2 linked regions of the Lonchura striata genome follow. The main gene of each other region encodes a partner of the protein of the gene in region 2 in a complex. Links are inferred from orthologs where the notes say so. Each region holds a gene or a part of one and is shown on either strand. Other genes may lie near its edges. The genes, in order: CCK and CCKAR.

The links.
Region 1: the proteins of CCKAR (region 2) and CCK are in contact, whole or in part, in a cryo-EM structure (PDB 7MBX), measured with the Homo sapiens proteins. The link is inferred for Lonchura striata from reciprocal best matches to the Homo sapiens genes CCKAR and CCK. Residues at the interface, in NP_000721.1 of Homo sapiens: Cys94, Phe97, Asn98, Pro101, Asn102, Lys105, Asp106, Phe107, Thr118, Met121, Gly122, Val125, Tyr176, Phe185, Asn194, Met195, Cys196, Arg197, Phe198, His210, Leu213, Leu217, Ile329, Phe330, Ala332, Asn333, Arg336, Ala343, Glu344, Leu347; in NP_000720.1 of Homo sapiens: Asp96, Tyr97, Met98, Gly99, Trp100, Met101, Asp102, Phe103.

Annotation. Positions count from the first base shown.
Region 1 is NC_134603.1:112,404,840-112,414,736, forward strand, and holds the start of CCK (cholecystokinin), read right to left. Parts: upstream 4,435-9,897; 5' UTR 4,315-4,434; intron 2,805-4,314; 5' UTR 2,803-2,804; coding exon 2,547-2,802; intron 1-2,546. UniProt on the Homo sapiens protein: This peptide hormone induces gall bladder contraction and the release of pancreatic enzymes in the gut. Its function in the brain is not clear.
Region 2 is NC_134606.1:18,734,499-18,744,285, reverse strand, and holds the start of CCKAR (cholecystokinin receptor type A), read left to right. Parts: upstream 1-5,203; coding exon 5,204-5,327; intron 5,328-6,058; coding exon 6,059-6,310; intron 6,311-8,456; coding exon 8,457-8,718; intron 8,719-9,787. UniProt on the Homo sapiens protein: Receptor for cholecystokinin. Mediates pancreatic growth and enzyme secretion, smooth muscle contraction of the gall bladder and stomach. Has a 1000-fold higher affinity for CCK rather than for gastrin.

The sequences.
Region 1 (9,897 bases), on a different chromosome or scaffold from region 2:
GCCACTACTGTCTGGCCAGCCAAGGGCTCCTTAGAGGACATTAAATGTGCCTGTCACTGGTTTGAGAGCCACAACATCTCTTCTGCATGGCACCAGATTCAAGCTGAAAGCCTGCAGATGAACATAATTGAAAGCCTGGGTGACAAATTTCCTAACATCACATTAATTACCTCTCCTGAATCCACTAGAGATGTCATGTGGGTATTGCAGGATCAGTGTATGACAAACATACTCAAAGTTGTAGCAGTTCAGCTACAGGACTGCCATCAATCCCTAAGCCCTTGAGAGAACTTAGCTCTATCACTGATTTAACTAGAAATACTTTACAAAACCAGCCCTTCATCAGGGCAAATGCTACTACTAGTGACTGCTAACACTAACAAAAGTCCGGGCTCTCTCTGGAATTTTCTAGTGATTATTATGGTTTAGATATTAGGTGACTAATACAGTAGGTGTGAGTGTTCTGCAGAGATTGCTGAAGTACTGTCCAGAGTCTTCACATTAAATGAGAATATAATGTTTTGATGGGAACACTGTATATAGGTTACAATTTAAATAAATACTGGTTTTCCTGTGAATTTTCTCTCCAACAACTACATCTACAAACTAGAGTCTAACTAGTCTAGTCACATCACAAGAATCTCATCATCTGCTTCCAGACTATTTTTAGAATTAATTATATATGTCAATAATACATATGCAGGAAAATGTCCCTCATATTAATATTTACAAAAAAAAAATTAAATCCAAAGGGTGGTTTTTTTTTGGTTTTTTTTTTTTTGCTTTATCTGGTTAATCTATTTGGAAATATCAACCACATATTTAAGAGAATATAATGGCTATATAAACTAGAATGAGGACTTCCGTTTCCATGTGGGTGGGCAACAATGACTATGCTGGGGAAAGGTAATGAGAATTCTGCTTTGCAGACTGCTGCAGTAACAGTCTTATTCCATAACAGCCTTAAGTGCAGTGCTGAATTGTGGAATTTCATATCTGAATTATCTCTCCATTTAATTGCATGAACAGCTAAAAGTTGTTTCTTAATGGATATCATGCAAATCGTTAACATGAGATGAAATCTTCCAGGCACTATTGGAAGTAATTAATTTTTCTGTTGTTTTTAATTTGGCTGTGTTCTGAGTACACAGAGGAGTGTGTATGGCTGCACATGTAATGCACAAAAACCAGATGTGGCATCTCTTAATTGCAGACCACCATCACATATACGCATAGGACTTTGCTGAGCATAGAGATCAGCAGGGAAGCTGTCAAGAGGTGAGGGTTAAATGATCTGCATTATGTGGAGAAAGCTCTTTCTTATATAAAGTGAACTTTATCCTAAGCACAGTCTGGAGCTAGGTGTGAATTAATTTCTCAATGTCTGTATGTCTAGGTAATCCTAATCCTAATTACTGGCTTCTCTTGAAATCCTCTTTTCTTCTTAGATGTCTTTTCTGTGTAGAACAGGGCAAAGGCTGGAGTGAAGCTTTCATGAGTAAACAAAATTTCTCTAGTGGCTCTCACTGAGGTTGGCAGCCAAAAGGCCACAGCAATTAGGCTGCCCATGGTGTTACTCTATTGAGACACCAAGCAGGACAGAGATGAGACAGCTCAAAAGGAAAAATGTTTTCTTGGGGAAGTTTCAGTGGTCAATGATTTTGGACCATCATTTTTACTGGTAGCACCAATGGCATGCTTTTCTGCCTATATAAGATATATTCTGTAAGGTGTCAACAGGGATAGCTTTACTCTTTCTCTCATGCAATACAATTGTTTCCTCAAGTGGCTAATAAATCTCATTATAAGAATGTCCTGTAATCCCACTCCTCTACTGATTCTTCATGTCCTTGTTACACAGAGACAGTTTTAGATAACTGCAAGATTGTGTTCCCAGGCTGCCCGAGACCGAAAGCCTACCAGGAATTAATGTGTGTGGAAGCAAATATGTTTTTGCTTATCATTGATTTTAATTATTGCACTAATAAATATAAATTCAGTGTTTTGAAAGCTTTCATGCTATCATCATTTCCTCTGGGAACAAATATATGAAAAATCCAATACTCAGAATATTTCCTTGGAACAGGGATTTCTGACTGAAGTGAGGCTAGCCATTTGATCTGCATTCATCCTCAGAAAAGTCTTCCTGCTCTTCTAACTTTAAAAGAAGGAGGAAGAGAGTATTTTAACTAAATTGAGAGACTTCAAGGAAAACATAATTATTTTATCTGAGATACAACATACCGAAAAGAGCACCAAAATAATAAGGCAATGAAAATAGTTAAAAATAAAAGCTGAACTATAACCTAAAAGGTCAGTGACATTTTCTCCAGTTATCTTTATATGACTCTCAGTCAAATAAACCTTTTTTTTTGGCAAGGGTTTGGGAGAGAGCATTTGAAATGCTGCCTACTTCAGGGACAAGCAGGCAAAATGAAAAACCTATCTTCTCTAGGAATACATGTTAAATGATAGAAGGGTTATCTCAACTCCTAGGAACCCCTGCAGGAAATCCCAGCGGCACAGAAGCAGGCTGTAAGCAGTACCTTTTCTGGCTTGCTGGAGATACTTGGCCAGCAAGGCGCCGATGTTGGCTCTTTGGTCACTGCTGGCATCCAGCCGCTGCAGGGGTTTCAGGGGCCCGGCAGCCGCCGGGGCGCGGGAGTGCCGCTGATGCTCCGGCAGGCTCTGCTCCAGCTCGGCAGGCAGAGGATGCCCATCGAGCGAGCCCAGAGTTTGCTGTCCGAGGGAGCTCACCGAGAGCACGGCGAGGAACACGCAGATGCATAGCCCGCTGTACATTGCTGGGGAGAAAAGGGACAGGGGGCTGTTACATGATCAGATTGACTACGTTTTGTGCAGCCCCTAACCCCATCTTCCATTGGGGATGGTGGCTTCTGAGCAAACTAGGCTCGTGTTGGGTCTTTTTTAATGTGTGTACCTGCAGGATCTGTCTTAAGTTGGAAAATATACATGTGAATAGCTAAATATCCTTGCTAAAGAGGAAGGTACCAGTAATTAATTTTGTTTCTTCGATCCTAGTATGTGCTGTATCTCCCTGATCTACTCGATTCTTAATTGCTTTTTTTTTTTTTTTTTTTTGAAGATGTATTTCATAAAAACTTAATGGACTCGAATCCATCTCTGTGAAAAAACTCGTGATTCAAATATTTCAGTATTTTGCTATTGCATTAAAACCTTGCTATTATTATAGATACTCAGTTTTGACAAGTTCTATGAAGAGCCTTTATTCTACCAGTCTTCATTGATTTGAACTTTAGTGTTCAAGAGGTTTCATCCTATCATACACAAAAAGAAGAAAACCAAAATCTTGCTGCAGTGAAAGAAAAACCAAAATCGAATACTCTTGCCCCAAAACATTTGGTCTAATAGCTGGAGGGGTAAAAGCTGTATAGTTAAAAGCTGTAAGAAATAAAGTGCAACTTAATAGTCTTCTTCATCTTAAAAAGAGAATTTAGATTTCTACTGCTTTCTTGCTAAGCAGTGTACTAAGCAAAACAATGTTGGTTTTCTAAATAATTTTATCACATAAGCTGAAATGGTATTTTTTTTCCTGGAAACAGTGAAATTGCTCTCAATTCTTAGAAGAAACAAACTACCTAGTACTTCATGCTATGGGGTAATTTTCACTTATAAATACACATGGATTATCTCAGCTGCATGAAATTTTTTTGAACTGCTTCAGTTCTCTAACCGTACACTTAATAAAAGCCTTTAAATTTTAAAAAGGGATAAAATTAAGTTTATTTAGCCAACACATACTCTAGTCAAAATAATTCACGGTATATAAACCACGGGGGGTTTAAAATATTCTCAGGAGATGAGTGAAGAAAGTTGAAATGTCAAAATGTCACTCCAGTGTGGTTATTAGTGATGTACCCGTCTAGGTTTGGGTACTCGGAGACTGATGGTGCATTGCACCTTTCAGCTGTCCCGAGTCCTGTATTTTTTACACACATACATGTATATATCACACACACACACACACACATATCTAAGTACTCATGTCTTTGCTGTGGTTTCCAAATCCCACGTCTCACCACAGCTGGCCGGTTCCCCTCCCAGCTGCCCAGGGTGGGCAGCCCTGCGCGCCGCTCCCCGCACCCCGCGCTGGGGTCCACCCGGCTGCCCGCGCTCGTCGGGAGCGGCCGGAATTCTTCCCCGCCGGGAAGCGTTTCCTCCGGCACAGAGCGGGATGCCCGCCGAGCCGCCGCACAGGTAAGCTCCAGGCACCCCCATTTCCTTTGCCTGCCCGCCCTCAGCAGTGGCGCCGTCAGAAGAGGCGCTCCCTACCTTTCCGCTGCGCTTTTCCAAGGTCCCTCTCGAGTCGGGAGCAGTGAGTCCCGAGCGTGCCCAAGCAGGGAAGTCGGGGGAGACTCAGCCTCGGCCGCTTAAATAGCGGCGGGCACCGAGGCGGTGTTTACACATTTCTGACGCAGCCGGGGCCCCCGCCCGCTTCAGCCCCCCGTGCCGCCCCTCCCCGCCCCGGGGACCGGCACCGGGGGTGTGTGCGCTCCGCGGGGGGAGCGGGGCTCCTTCCCCGCCGCGGTGCGCGGGGTGCGCAGGAGCGCGGCTCCGCGGGGCTGGCGCTGCCCCGCGGGCCGGCCCCGACGGCCGCTCCCGGCCCTCCCCGAGGGAAGCGCCTTGCTGCCTTGCAGCTGGGCAATCAAAATGCTCCTGACCGGTGTATGCCCACACCTCCGTCCCCTGCCGGAGGCTCCAGGTGGGGCTCATGCCCTCAGCACCGGCAGCTCCGGCAGTCGGGAGCCGCCCGGAGGCGGGGGAGGCTCGCCCTGGCCGCGCTTACCGGCGCTGGCAGGTGCGGGGTCTGGGGCATTGGGTTCCATTCTCTGAGGCCTCCGGTGACCTGAGCCCGCGGTGACAAATGCCTCCATCCTCCCCTTCCTCTCCTAAACATCTGCTCGGGAAGACGGGACACTCATTTTATTTAAAAAGCAAAGCATAAAGCCATGGGCGATCCCCGCAAAAGACGTGGATGGAGATGCCTTCGGCGTGGGCTCTCCCTCGCTGACCACAGAACTACCAGAGTCTCCTCCGCCGCTGCAGGGAACACCGTCCCTTCCCGCGACCTCGGCCGGGCCGGTGCTGCCCCGAGGCGATGCTCGCCAGGTGTGTCCGCAGCAGCCTCGGACACTGTGCCGCCCTCCCGCCTCCTGCTTTTCGGGGATGGAGGAAGCGCCCTCGAGCTCGGGCTGCCCGGGCTGCCACGCCGAGGCCGCAGAGGGACGGGCAGCGCCGGCTGGGGCAGCCGTGCGGTAACCCCGAAACTCTCCGCAGCTCAGCCCCCGGGAGCAGCCGCTCCTCGGAGCCAGCTCTGGGCTCAGGCGTCATTCCGCCGAATCTGTGCCTTAGAGTTTACGGTTTGGAGGCAAGAGTGGGTGGGCTGCTTTTCCCTCTGCAGGAAGGGAGCTGGGCAGCCCCGAGACACCGAGGCTCCCCGGGGAGCCGCCTGTGCTGTGCGGACGGTGCGGGGGTGCGGAGCGCCGGCCGGGCCGTGCCCAAGCGGCGGCTGAGAGGGCTCCAATCCGCCAAGGCAGGGCACGGGGGGCGTGTGTGCTCTTAACCTCTTAACCCAGGGCTCCTGGGGGAAAAGCGCGCTGCTTCCCGTCCTTCCCGCAGCGCCGGTCCCGCCTCACGCCGTCCCGCGCACCCCCCGCGCCCTTCCCGCCGTGGCCCGCAGAGGGCGCCGCGGCCCCGCGCACCCCGGGGAATCCGGCGGCACGAGGGACGGAGATCCAGGGAAAAGTCACGAGATCCCGCGGCAGGGCGGTGCCGTGTGCCGTGCGAGCGGGGAAAAGCCGACCTGCTGCCGCCTCCTCAGCGCGGGGAGCCCTGGCTGCCGATGCCCGGCCGCGCCCGAGCTGAGGCGCCGGTGATGATGGAGCGGACGGCTGGGAGAGGGATGCCGCGGCTCCCGTGTCCCGTCACCCTGGTGGTGCGAGGCTGGGAGGTGGCGGAGATGGCGATGGACAAGCTCTCTCACCGCCTTCCAGCTGCTGACACGGTGTTGCCGAGCGGGATGCGGCACCTGAGCTGCGGGCTGCCGTTCATCTCTCACACTGGCGCTGGCTTCGGGCAGCGTCATCATCCCGCAGTGCTTTTAAAAAACAAAATCAAAACCTCCTTTGAAAAGGGAAAAGTTAGTCGAAGCAGATTGCTAGGGAAAGTAACAGCCCTGAAATTATTTCAGCAGTACCTGTCCAATGGCTCTGTCTGTCTCTGGAAAAAAATCTCGGTAACATTCCAGATAATTCAATTTCACTACTTTGGCTCAATGGGAAAGATACTCACTGCTATTAGACAATTAAATAGTCGACTCTGAATTGAACTGTAGGTGTCTGGGAACCAGAGTATCACAGGCTTTCTGGGAAGGTAAAATAACAATTCTGGTAGAGTCACATCAAGCCCTTGTGAAACCCACTGTAGATAATGAGCTCCCAAGGGACCAGCTCAAAGCTTAACAGATGAGAAAGAGAGACCGCTTGCTAATATACACTCATGAATAATTCACATCAGACAGATATAAATGCAGGCATTTAAGTCTGACATATTAGCCTGGTTGAACAAATACACACTACATTTACATCGAGCTTATTTGGAATCTCAGTTCACTTATAAATGTATCTGGGATTGGACAAATGGAGTGTGTATGAGTGTGCATATGTGTGACAAACTCCCTAGCTGTGCCCATGAACAGACAGAAAGGCAATGCCATATGAAATAGAATAAAGGAAACAGGAATAATGTCATTATTATTAAAGTCAGCAATGCTGCACGATCTATAGCCTGGCTAATTGACTTTTGAACACTGGATTTTCCTAACTGAATTCTTTAATACCTGTATTACAGGTACCTGTATGTACAGTCCTTGGTGATTATTTTCTGGCTTATTTTCTCTTCAGTGAAAGTTTGAAGTTGTAGGAAAGTTTCAGTCCTTGGTAAATATATGTTAATTAATGGCATTTTAGAATTGTTTTGAGCAGACATAGAAGACCAGAAAGCCTGTTTGGCATGAGCAAATACAACAGCAGGACTCTGAGGTGAGTTGCCTGCAGAAACTCAGACTATGTATTATGTTACTTATTGATGTGGTACAAAAGGTAGGAATTGGGATTTAATTTGCAGTGACCTCTAGGTTCCAGGTCCAGTGTTTTTGTCAGGTGCTGGGCCTAGACGTGCACCATGGATTGGAGAGTGTCAGCCACAGGAGGGCCTTGTGGCACTATCACAGGTGGGGTGAGACAGAGGCTGCTCTAACACAAGGCTTCAGCCTTAGAGCACCAGGAAGGAAAGTGTTTTGACTGCAGCAGAGCTTGAGTGATATTGTAAGAACCCAAGTATATATGCAAAACAAATTTAAACCTAAAGTGAACCCTGCAATGCAGTAAATGCTAATATAGGTACATCCCTGGGGAGGAGCTGAAAGATGCAATCGTTTAGATACTGCAGGCTTTTAAAGATTTGTCTTCTGGCAAGAGTCTGTTAAAGGATATGAGTTTCTCTAACCTTTCCTCCTGACAATCAAGACACCTCTATCCTCAATTGCTTTCTCTATTTATCTGCCAAAGGTTTTCTCGTGTTTAGCTGAGGAGGCAAAAGAGTGTGTATGGTTAAGTATTCATTTTGTGCTGTGCCAGCACAAAGCTGGGAGCTTTGGAGCAAGAAGGCAGCATGGGAACAGTGGGATGGAGAGATTTCTTTATGTCTGTCCTGCAATGGGAATGGCTGGCACCAATAGTTGGAGCATCAGCCACGGTGCTCATGTCCCTGTCTCTCTGCTGAGAGCTGGAGCATAGCCTGCCTGTGAGTGTTGGAGTGGCATCAAGCTTGGAGATGCAGCCTTGGAGATATCCTGTGGCACCAGGGGGCTTCATGTCCAGGTGCATGACATGCACGAGAAATACCTTCTTTTTCTTTTAAGTATTAGATTTTTTTCTGATTATCACTATGCAGGGTATTTTTACTTCCATCTGGACCCTGACACTTATAGGTAATATTCTGTTCTATATTTAGTCAAATTAATGTGGGTTTTTGTTTGGTTTTGGGTTTTGTTGGGTGTTTGTTTGTTTTAATGTGAAGATGATGGAGTGTCACTCTGGAGGATTACAGTGAAGTGGGAATAATTGGCAGAGGATAGCAGGGAAGGGAATGGAATGGTTTTCTGGAATTACCAGGTGAATTGGTGAACAGATTATTAGGACCAACTGCATTGTAGATGTAAAGTAGAGAATATATTTTAAGACAGCACATTGTTCTGCTGTATTTTAACATTGATTCAGACAATAAATTTTTGGTATTTTGCTTTTCCCAAATATTTAAAATTTTAATTCAGTAATTTCTATGTAAATGCTTTCATTGTAGTCTCTTTTCTTCCACTTGAGAGGAATGTAAACTCTGCTTAGAGCCAACCCAAAAACTAAGTGAGAAATTTTGGTTTTGGGTAAGTGACCAGCAGTGAGGGATCTGGGTCCTCTGCCTGAAGAATTCTGACCTCCTTTCACAGAGCAGTGATCAAACTAATATATTAGTCCCTGAATAATATACCTAAAGAAGGGCCCCATAGAAGCAGATCAGCAGAGCGGTGCTGAGGATGTTTGAACATTCACAGACTGTTCTGCAATGGAAACAAAAGAATATAACGTGGGAATAATCATAGTGAAATAAACTGGCTTGGATTGGAAGGGAGCTTGAAGACCATCTTGTTCCAACCCTGCTGCCACAGGAAAGGACACCTCCCATTAGATCGGGTTGGTCAGAGCCCCTCAACATGGCCTTGAACACCTTCAGAAGTGGAGCAGCCACAGCTTCTCTGGGCAACCTGTGCCAGTGCCTCACCAGCCTCACAGTAAAGAAGTCTGTTTCAAAAGAGTACTCCTGGTGTGAACTATGTGCACTAATGCAAAATAATGGATTGTAATTAAAGTTACCCACTATCCTGCAGTTGTGTGAAGAAGGAAAATAAGAGGAAAAATCCCTTTTCCAAGGAGAAGGGTTGGATTTTTTTGAAAATTAGATTTTAACCTGTGTCCTGTGAAATTCAGACAGTTGGTATGCAAGTTTCCTGTAGAACAACTGGAAAACTTGTGTGATGTTTTCAAATTTTGTTCCGTGTACTTTCCAGAAGATATGGCAAAGTGGAACAGAAAAAAATCACAGTTGCTTCTATGAGACCACCCAATCCCAAATCACTTGCTTTTTTATATGTTTTTTTGTGTGTTTGTTTATTTTCATCTCTGAAAGACCAAACTGATTTTCTGTGGGAACTTGCTATATGTATCTTCCAAACTGACCGCAGTATAGGGGCTTTTGTGCAAGCTGAAAACTGGAAATGGAAATCAATGTGCTAGATAAAAATATCAAAGATATATGAGGTGCTTGTTGCTGGCAAATTCTCTATGCTTTCAGCAGTACTTTGGGGGTTATGTTGGAGCTTCTCTTGCTTGTTGCTACCACACATATATGTCATGCATCTCAAGAGAGTCTTTGGCCTTCTTCAGAGAAGTTTCTAACAGACCTTGAGTCCTCTGCCATTCAGACTTGAAGTACCTGCTTCATCAGACTTTTTTTTTTTTTTTTGAGCAAGAAGCTGTGATAATGCTATTATCCATGAAACTAAAATACATATTCATAGATACTGGAATCTGATGGCATTGTTTATGGTTTGGACAATTATACTTTATTCCATAATTAATATTTCCTTTTATGATTATGTAGGAGAAGCCAGTCCAGCACACTTCAATATACATTTTAGTTAATTTATTATAAAAATAGACTACTACAGAAAGGAAATACATTGTACCTTTTTGTACCTTTCAAAATATTTCGTACATTTCATATGTGTTCTCCACCTCTCTG
Region 2 (9,787 bases):
ACCTCCATTTCCTCCCTGCTAATCGCACAGCCACTCTCTAAATTACTTAGTTGGTGTTGTGATGCTAACATCTCTTCATCTAATTCTGTGGAAATGTGGAAATCCATTCGATCTTAGCGTCATGAGGATAGCATGGCTTCTTTTGAGAGCAAAGTATCAGACAGCAGCAATCTGAAAAGTCTTCCTTGCTTTTCCCAACTCTTCCACTCTCCCACCGAGTGGCCTGTGCCAAATACTTTGTTTTTTCATCTTTAAATTGAAACTCATAACAGCTGCAGTTAACATAACTAATTCATTAATATACCTCTGTGAGATATGCTAATGCAAATCTCTTGTGGTAAAATAGTTGTGACTCTTTGTCACGTGCCTAACTGGAATCTTAAAATCAAAGACTGTGGTTCTCAGTTGTTACAGGTGAGGCTTTATTTAGCAGCTGTTGCTGTTTTGAGCTTTGTTAGGGAGTTGAGTACTGTCAAGAGGAGTTGTACCATTTTGTTGCTGATGTTATAACCTATTGGGGTTGTTTCTGGTGGCAATCCCTGATCTTTCATCTATTTTTTACAAGCCATGCCATGACTGTACATCAGAAAAATCTCAGATTACCAATACCTTAGAACATGTGATGGATTTTGACTTTGGTTGATGTTGGTCTAATATGGAAAGGTTTGCTCAAAGGAGAACATTATTAGTACCAACATTTGGTGCTGTTAATATAATCCAAAAAAAGGGATCTCCTGAGCCATGTGTTGATGCAGTTTACTTGGTGTGGGGTTCTAGCATGTAATATACCCACAGCATAAGGGCATGCAGGACTATTTGCTTGCATCTCTAGCTTAAATCCTGAGCTGTGTTTTCTAGCAAATTAATATTCAAAGGGTGAAGGGACAGAAAGAGTTGTACAACATCATGTATAGCCTGCAAAAGAAACAAACACGTTTTAAAAATATCTATCTTCCTCTTTCATGAGTGTGTATTCATTCTTCATAACACTTATGTATCTGTTACAATAAGACACAAAAAGGAAAAGGATCAGCTTTAGCTGTTCAGAGAGCATTGATGTAACTTCTGCCCTCAATTTTTAATAGTTAGAGGGCTAGATGCATGGGGAGAGAAGATGCAGCTGAGCTCAGTGACAGTCTGAGAATTGCCAACATGAGGAGCAGCGTGCATGGTGAACCATTTGGGCAGAATGAGTGGACAATGACTCATTCCAGACTTCAGTAATATCACAGGGCGTCAGAAGGATTGTTATGAAATATTTACACAGATTTCTTTGAAGCAGTTTCCCTAAATTGTGTACAGAACTTGCACAGAAATCTCTGGAGCAGAAATCCCTTTTGCACCTGGAAGCCCATAGAAACTTAACCATGATTATGAAATTGGACCTGAGGATTTACAGAGACAATATGCTTTATTCATCCCTTTCATCAGAGAGAGTTGAACACTGTAGAGAACTCACAGCTATCACCTGAGAGGTCTCATTTCCTCTTTTCTGAGGAAGGTGGTAGGACAGGCTGCCTGGATGCCCATGAAGGCATCAGGACCAGCTGTCTTGCATCTCACAGGCAGGCCAGGTACTATAAACATCCAGGAAGTTCAAACACTATGAATTTGCACTTCAAAACAATGAAAAGTGGTCACCTCCAAACAATTTAAAAGATACCTTGAGATGTGTCTTGATACTAATGTGACCTAAATACAATAATTTCATCATTGAAGACCTGTGGAGTCTTCCAGAGATTAATTAAGCAACACACCATGTAATACGTGCCCTTTGCAGAACCACTGCAGGGGCAGCAGGAGCACCTTGTTTGCCTTTGATCCCATCTATGGTTGGTGAATGGTATTTTGGAAATCACTGATAGTTCAACAAGGTGCTCAGAAGTAAATTTCTTCCTTATATTATTTAGTTCAGGTCAGGATGAAATAAATAGTTTAAATGCAGCTACTGTGAGACACTGATAGGACTACGGCTCAGATTGCCTTGAAAAGGTTTATGATAAATGTGTTCATGAAAATTTTGTGCATTCTCCAAAAGTGTGGCTTAGTTCTAATCTCCCTGTTATTTGTGCCTGTGAGAGTAACTCCACTGAATCAGAGGCCTAATGCCAGTATCAACCTGGTGAGTGAGAACAGAAGTAGACCATGACTTTCCATATATGTTTTTTCTAATTGTTTTATTCAATTCACTTGTCAGGACAAAAAAGACCTGGTAAGAAACATAAACCTATTTGTAAATTTGATACCAGCTACAGATATGCTTTTCCAAATTCATCATTTTACAATTAGATTTTCTATTTAACTTAAGTAAAGATCTTTGTCAAATTAATGAAGAAACAGAACAGAGTATTCTTCAGGAAAAAAGAATGAGGTAACTGTTAAATTGATGTGGTTTAGTTTTGGATGAGAAAAGATATATATAGATAGCAGGAAATGGCAGAGCACTGCAACTGTTTTGGCTGCAAGGGCAGTGTGTTCATTATATGACATTACAGGGGAGAAAAGGATTAAGACTAGAATTAAAAGAGGCAGATTCTTTTGTTATCACGGATTAGCAAGCCTCCTTCAAATATAGGGAAACATATTTTCGTATACTTTTGTCCAAACTATCAACGCAGTCATATTAAGATACCTAAATTGTTTCTTAATTAAAACCAAATTTTATTAATAAATCAGTGTTGCTAATAAAACAGCCAGCTCCAGAGAAGTTCTTGCCTAAAACTTTCAACATCCCAAATAATGCATAATTAAGTACAAGTGGACAGACACTCGGGTTTTTGTTTCTCCTAAATGATAAAATTGCATCTGCAATGAGCAGGCATTTAGTTAAAGCCTCCTTTTTTTGTCTCTTCTGAAACTTGCAGGGAAACAATGAGATGACACTGATCTGCATGGAGAGTGATCTACCAAGCAGTTAGTTAATGTAGTGGAGGGAAATAATATTACAATGGCAACTCAGAAATGTTCAAACATGAGTACTATTGGCTGTACATTTGAGTAAATCTATGCCAAATAAAAGCCTAGAAAAACAAAACTCTTTGATCTCAATATGTTTAATGCAGAAATCCACTCCAAAATGGGAGTCAAGAGTTCATAGCAAATTCTTCCTCATTTACTCTGGCAATTTAACTAGCAGATGCTGAATCGAGCTCAGCCCAGGACCAGATGGTATTCATCCAGAACTTCTAAAGGAAATAGTAAAATTATTAACTATGATGTGCAATCTATTGTTTAGAACTATGTTGTTGCCAGGGAAAAAAATTTGTGTAAATGTGATTCCAATGTTTAAAAAGCACTCCGTGGGAAGTAAACCCTTGAAATTGTGAGCCAGTCTGTAAGCCTGGCGTTCAGAGATGGAAAACTGATGAGGACTCTAATAACAGATAAAAAACTCTGTACAAATTTGTAGAGGAAAGCTGCACCTTATACACTTGGAGTCCTGAGTATGTGAACAAGGTGGTCCAGTTTGTTTTAAACACTAACTCCATAGTTGCTGGGATTTGCACAGAGTATCATTCCCTCACACATTCTGCTCTTGCTTTTGGTTGAAATTAGTACCTTCTGGAGTTCGTTATGGCTCAGTACTTACCCCTCAGCTGTTCAAGCCTGTGCTGCACCTGCTGTCTCCTACCACTGTGATCCAGCTCCTTGGCTGCCTCGCAGGGTGAGCTGTCCAGTGCAGCCTGGTGAGTTTGCCTGTTTGACAGCTCTGTGCAGCCTCCGGCCGTGGCTGCTGGCCTCACTGGCTTCACCCATCTTGCATGTGCTTAGCAAGCATGTCTTGACACTGAAGTGCCTTGAACCTGCACTGGCTTCACAGTGTTAACCACAGCCCTGGCCAGCCTCTCGCACCCAGAGAGCAAGGTGGGACTGTGCTGGGTGGGTGGGTATGGGCCACTGATGGCCAGCTGCATCCAGGGCTCCCAGAGCTACAAGGGGTAATTGAGAACTTGGAACTTTCAATGTAACTTTTCAATCTACTTTCCTACATCCCTATTCCCATTATTCGTACTATAAAGGAAAACTGGCAAGACTGGAAGAGAAAGCCAGGCTTTCCAGTCTGTGTATATCAGGTTTGAGGGGCCAGGATTTGTTATAAAGAACCTGTTACTGCCCTGCTTTTAAGTAAAAGGGATTTTAAATGTGAAATTAGTTTTTCATTCAGATATAGTAGAGATTAATTCCTAATATTAATATTTATTTCTGGACATAAACAAGCTATATACTGGAAAGTAAAAGCCCATGACTTTGTGAAAACACCAGTGAGGATGATGTTTAATAAAAAAGCCAAACTTTTAAACCACTGAGATCTTTGTGTTTTCCACTGATGTGTAAGTAATGTGCCATGATTTATCAGGTTTATCAAGTTTGTCGAGTTGTGTACAAGTTCTTGCACAGAGGAAATGTATAGGCTTCTTCTCATATTAACTGACAATTCGAATATAGTTTCATAAGATTTGATCCACTAAGTGAAATTAGTGAGTTTTTCTATTGACTTGCTGGGGTTTGGATCAGGCAGGTACAGCACTTTTGTATGAATCTAGCACTTTGCCAATTGAGATAAATGTAGCTGCTTTTATTTTTCTGAGTCTACCCTATCTTCACTTTACTCTGAAAAATATGAAGACAAGAATCATTTCCATGTAAGGAATGCCAAATCTTCACTATGTTTTTCTCTTCTCTGCTTTTATTAAGCAACTCATACCATTTTAAATGTTAGTTGAGAGACAGATTTATCACTCTCCTCACTCACTGTGTCTCGTTTATAGGCTGTGACCTCACAGGCTGACTCTCAGAAATAGTGCAGAGACATGAGTAGAAGCAATCTTGCAAGGGGTTAATGCTGTAATCTTTTTCTAGCCTGTTTATAATCCCAACAGTAGTGCAGTAACAGAAGAGGGTGGATCTAAAAAGTACCCGGGGGGGATATATGTGTGTGTGTGCATACGTGTGAGTGTGTGTGTGCACACGCTCTGCTTTTCTGAGGGGCCGTGTGTGCCCCTGGAATAAATCTTGTTCAGCCAGAACAGGACTCTGTGCTGGGTGCTCCTGCTGGAGAGTCAGAACAGCTTCCTTGCACAGCTGCCTCTCTTGTATTTCTTCTGAAGAATTCATTCAGAAACCATTTGTTTACTGAAAGCATGGGCAGATAGTTACAAACCCACCCTCTTCTTCATCAAAGCTACCCTGTGGATACTGAAGAATGGAAATAGTTGATACTAGTAGCTTCCTTGGGAATGGTACCAACATTACTGATTTCCTCTGCAATATCATCTTGGAAAATGACACTTTTTTCTGTGTGGATGATGCACCTTATCCTTCTAAAGGTATGTATGGAAAATTGTTTTTTTCCAGGCAGTTTTAGTTCTAGCTGGATGCAGAGATACTGTAGAAAGAAAGAGCTATGCAAGGCATTTTCTCTGAGAGAGTGAAAAATCAATTGCTTGTTTTTAAGCTAGTATGAGAAACAGGTAGCAAAAAATTTAGTATGTGCTGGTTTTCCAAGTTCAGAATTGAACTAGGACAAAATTTGAATATAATGCAAAAAAAACCCCACTAGCACTTTGGAGCACGAAATGCAAATATCTCTGCTAAGGACTTGGAGAAGCATGATTTTTACTCAATTCAATAATGATGGAGTGATCAGATCTGATACCATGTATGAAAATGATTTAATATGAAATCATAGCACTCTGAAGCTGAAAAAAATTTCATATATTAAAATGTGTATTGATTGCTTGATCTTTTCTTACCTTTGCATAAAATAGGATCTCCCATGGTGAGTAAGTGGTGCAGTCAGTAGCATGAGAAGCACATGTTTTAAGAAGTTGTATTTGACTCTCCAAATGTAGATTGTATTGCTTATATTGTAGATTAATGCTATGCAATTTAGCATTAATTTAAGAATTTCAGCACTTTCAGACATTTTTTGTTTGTGTAAAGACATAAACCTTCATAAAATTGAATACAGAAAGGCTTTTACCTTCTGATTAAAGATTGAAATATATAATCTGAGTTCAATACTATGCAATTGATCTTTTCTTGCGACAATTTTCAGATTTGCATCAGATAATACGGATTCTGCTGTATTGCTTGATATTTCTGCTCAGCATTTTGGGGAACATTCTGGTGATTACGGTGCTGATAAGAAACAAACGGATGAGAACAGTCACCAACACATTTCTGCTGTCACTAGCAGTCAGTGACCTGATGCTCTGCCTTTTCTGCATGCCTTTCACCCTTATTCCCAACCTGCTAAAAGATTTTATTTTTGGAAGTGCTGTTTGTAAAACTGCCACATATTTCATGGGTAAGTCTGGGATGTTTATACTTATTTTGAAGACTGACTAATGAGACAGGTGAGAAGATATTTAAAGATCTATAAAAGTCTGATTGTTTCCATCCATCATTGAAGTTACTATTATTACAAAGAAACAACTTCGTAGTGCAAATCTTCATGGTTCTGGTGTCCTTGGTCTGATCCAGCAAAACAGAGGCGCACACACAGGTAATTTTAATGACATACAGAAGTGTTTTGCTGGATGTGAAGATGTTGCATGATCAAACTTTAATGAGGAACCCAGCACATGCACTTGCTTACCCATCACCGACAAGATTCTTATCAGTGTTCAGATCACCCACCAGAAATGATGGGCTTGTACACCCTCAGCAAGGGCAGAATTTACCCACAGATTTTGGCAGCAGTGATACATAAAAAAGAAAAGAAATGGGCCAAAGTAGGTGTCATTTGCAGAGCTAAAAGTTAGCACAAGTACTCTTTGCAGACAGACCAGGTGTGATCAGAGCTAACCAGAAGACCATAAAACTCAGATATAGATTTTAGAGGCTGACTTTAAAAAGCATTACTTTTGTATGCCTTGTCATACCCCTTTTGGTTGTGGACCTAGGCTCTAGGATTTGCAAAATGTCTTGGTTGTGTATGTGTGTGTAAGTGATAGTTTGTCTCACTTTAATATTTCCTCTGCATTTGATAATTTCTTAACAAAAAAAAAAATCCAAACAAACAAAAAAAACAAAACAAAACAAAACAAAACCAATAAAAAAAACCCAAAAACCAAAAAAGAAAAAGAAAGAGAAAGAGAAAAAGAAAAAGAAAAAGAAAAAGAAAAAGAAAAAGAAAAAGAAAAAGAAAAAGAAAAAGAAAAAGAAAAAGAAAAAGGATTATGTAAAGTTTTTGCTGCTTTGGGAGCCCCTTAGTTGATTAGAGAAAGCGCTGGTCCCCTTTCAACCTGTGCCCTTGAGAACTTTGATGTAATGTGAAAGTACACACCTAAAGTGTGCGAATGGGAAATCAACATCTTTTTGTAGATAAAACCAATAAAACTAAAGGCCATGTTTAAACAATTATAATGAATTGCTGGCAAAAATATCCTAAAACATTACTGAAGCTTTGTCATCTTTCTCTTATTGCACACAGTGTAAATTACTTTATTAAAAAATCCAGTGAAATAGACCAACATAAAGTTTCCTATTATTAAGGTGTTTTATTTTAGGAGTCAGAATGTGAAGATTTTCCACTAAATGCTCAGGTAACAGAGGCATCACCTGACAAACAGACACTGACAACCATTGCATCAACTATGCTCAATTTTTCATCTTAAAATGTCTCATTTTAAGATGTAGAAAAACAAATTTTCAATTACAGATGATTTCTGTAAAGCAAACCATAACAATATTGGCATTTGATAGTCTGACACATATTCACAAAGACAAATAAAACTCATTTACTGAAAGAAAAATTTGTGGCAAAGTTAAGAGGAAATATTTATAATTTAACAGTGGTGAACTTGGGCACCTCAATGACAGAAACACATACAACCACACTATACTTTATAAAATATGAACAGAAAAAATTGAGGGTACTCGAAGGACAAAGATTCTGCTTTATGACTTCGTTTCTCCTTGTTTGTAACTCCATTACCATCTAATTAAAAAGTTGTAATAGGATTAACTCTCTTGAATGAGAAAATCAGATCACAAGTGAAGCAGGACACTCATAAAAATTAAAACAATAAAAAAAGGACTGTGAACATCTGTGTTAAGAGGGTAATTAACTGATTTCAAATGCTTTGTTTGAATTTCAGTGCAATTAGTGAACAAACCACAGTAGCAAAGAGAATAATTAAGAGTAAAATTGTCTTCTTTCCCTGTTACCAGAATTTTATTATTTGATAGTGTGTATTTCTTCTTGGACTTTGGGAGTAAGAGAAGTGCAGAGCAGGAATATCAGTCTGGAGCAGTCTGGAGACCCAGACCCACTGCCCACACATTCTTCACTGACTTCATCAGTGTGGTGTTTATAAATATTTTTGCTTATAAACAGTTTGCTATATTTTTAAATTTTTGTATGCATACAGCAAGCTACTAAGACCATTTGAACAAAACATAAGCTTTAAAACAAGAGAATAACTTTTTTCTTTATTTTATATGCATAGGTGTCTCTGTAAGTGTCTCCACCTTCAACCTGGTTGCCATATCTTTGGAGAGATACAGTGCCATTTGCAAACCACTGCAGTCCAGGGTCTGGCAGACAAAATCTCACGCTCTGAGAGTGATTGCTGCGACCTGGTGTGTGTCCTTCATTATCATGTCACCATACCCAATCTACAGCAAACTGGTACCTTTCACCAAGTACAACAACACCACAGCAAATATGTGTCGGCTCCTTTGGCCAAGCGATGTCATTCAACAGTCTTGGTAAGAATAACTGGCTGTTAGCAAATGTGTAATTACCTGCTGGAAAATGGGATTTTGTGGTAGCAATAAGCCTATGGAAAATCAAGCATTAACCTTCAGCAAATGTTTGCACTCTATCATTCTTATTTAGGATGTAAAAAAACCCCAACATTTTTAAGCTGCTTACATTTTGACGTTTGAATGACTTTTCCTTTGTCACAGGAACGACTGCCCAACATGGCAATGATTCTCACGCCATGGTCTGCTAAGCCCCAACTGTCACTTTAAAGAAAGCATCTGTCATTTGTAGTAGGAATACTGCTTTCACTCATTTACACATAAACTTCAACATTCTCAGAGAAATTCTTGATTAATCTTTGAGAAACACGGACACACCCCTCCGTGTGCTGCCTTGCCTGTTAATTTGTTTGAAAGTTCTTTGTAGCAGAGAAGTAGAACATGAGGCTGAAAATGTCTTATTTGAAAATCCTTTTGGTTGCTTATGAAGAATAGGCACAGAGGGAAGTGGGGAAAGACATGTTCCCAGTCCTACACATCCAGGCAGGGTAAACAGCAGCACTATCAAACAGCAATAGTACTTAGACACGGTGTCCTTGCACGTTGACTGAACACTGACTGGCACTGAGACAGCGTAAGATTTTTTTTTGATACTGAAGGTCAGTTGGGAAAAAGATTAAAGTCTGCACCATTTTGGTAGGATATATCCACCAAGAGAGTAACTTTGTGTTCATGCTTTCAGTAGTAGTCTCAGGTATTTGGCAGCATGTGGAGGAAGGGTACAGGATGAAATTCTCTTCTCTGTGTCTGCTTACAGATTCCCAGGTGTGTTACTGAGTTTGCACCAAAGTCACAGGGATCAGGAGAGACACAGGCTCATGGATGCATTTAAACATCATTATTTCCCCAACTTGTCGCCACATCAGAGAATCTGTCTAGGAGAGCAGCCTATGTGAAACCTCATAAAAGCTGCTTCCTTTACCTAAGAGATTGCCACTCCTGGGATCCCTCCTTAGGAGTTCTTCATGGCTCCAGGGATGAAAACCCACATTGTGGCTGCTCTGTTTTTGCC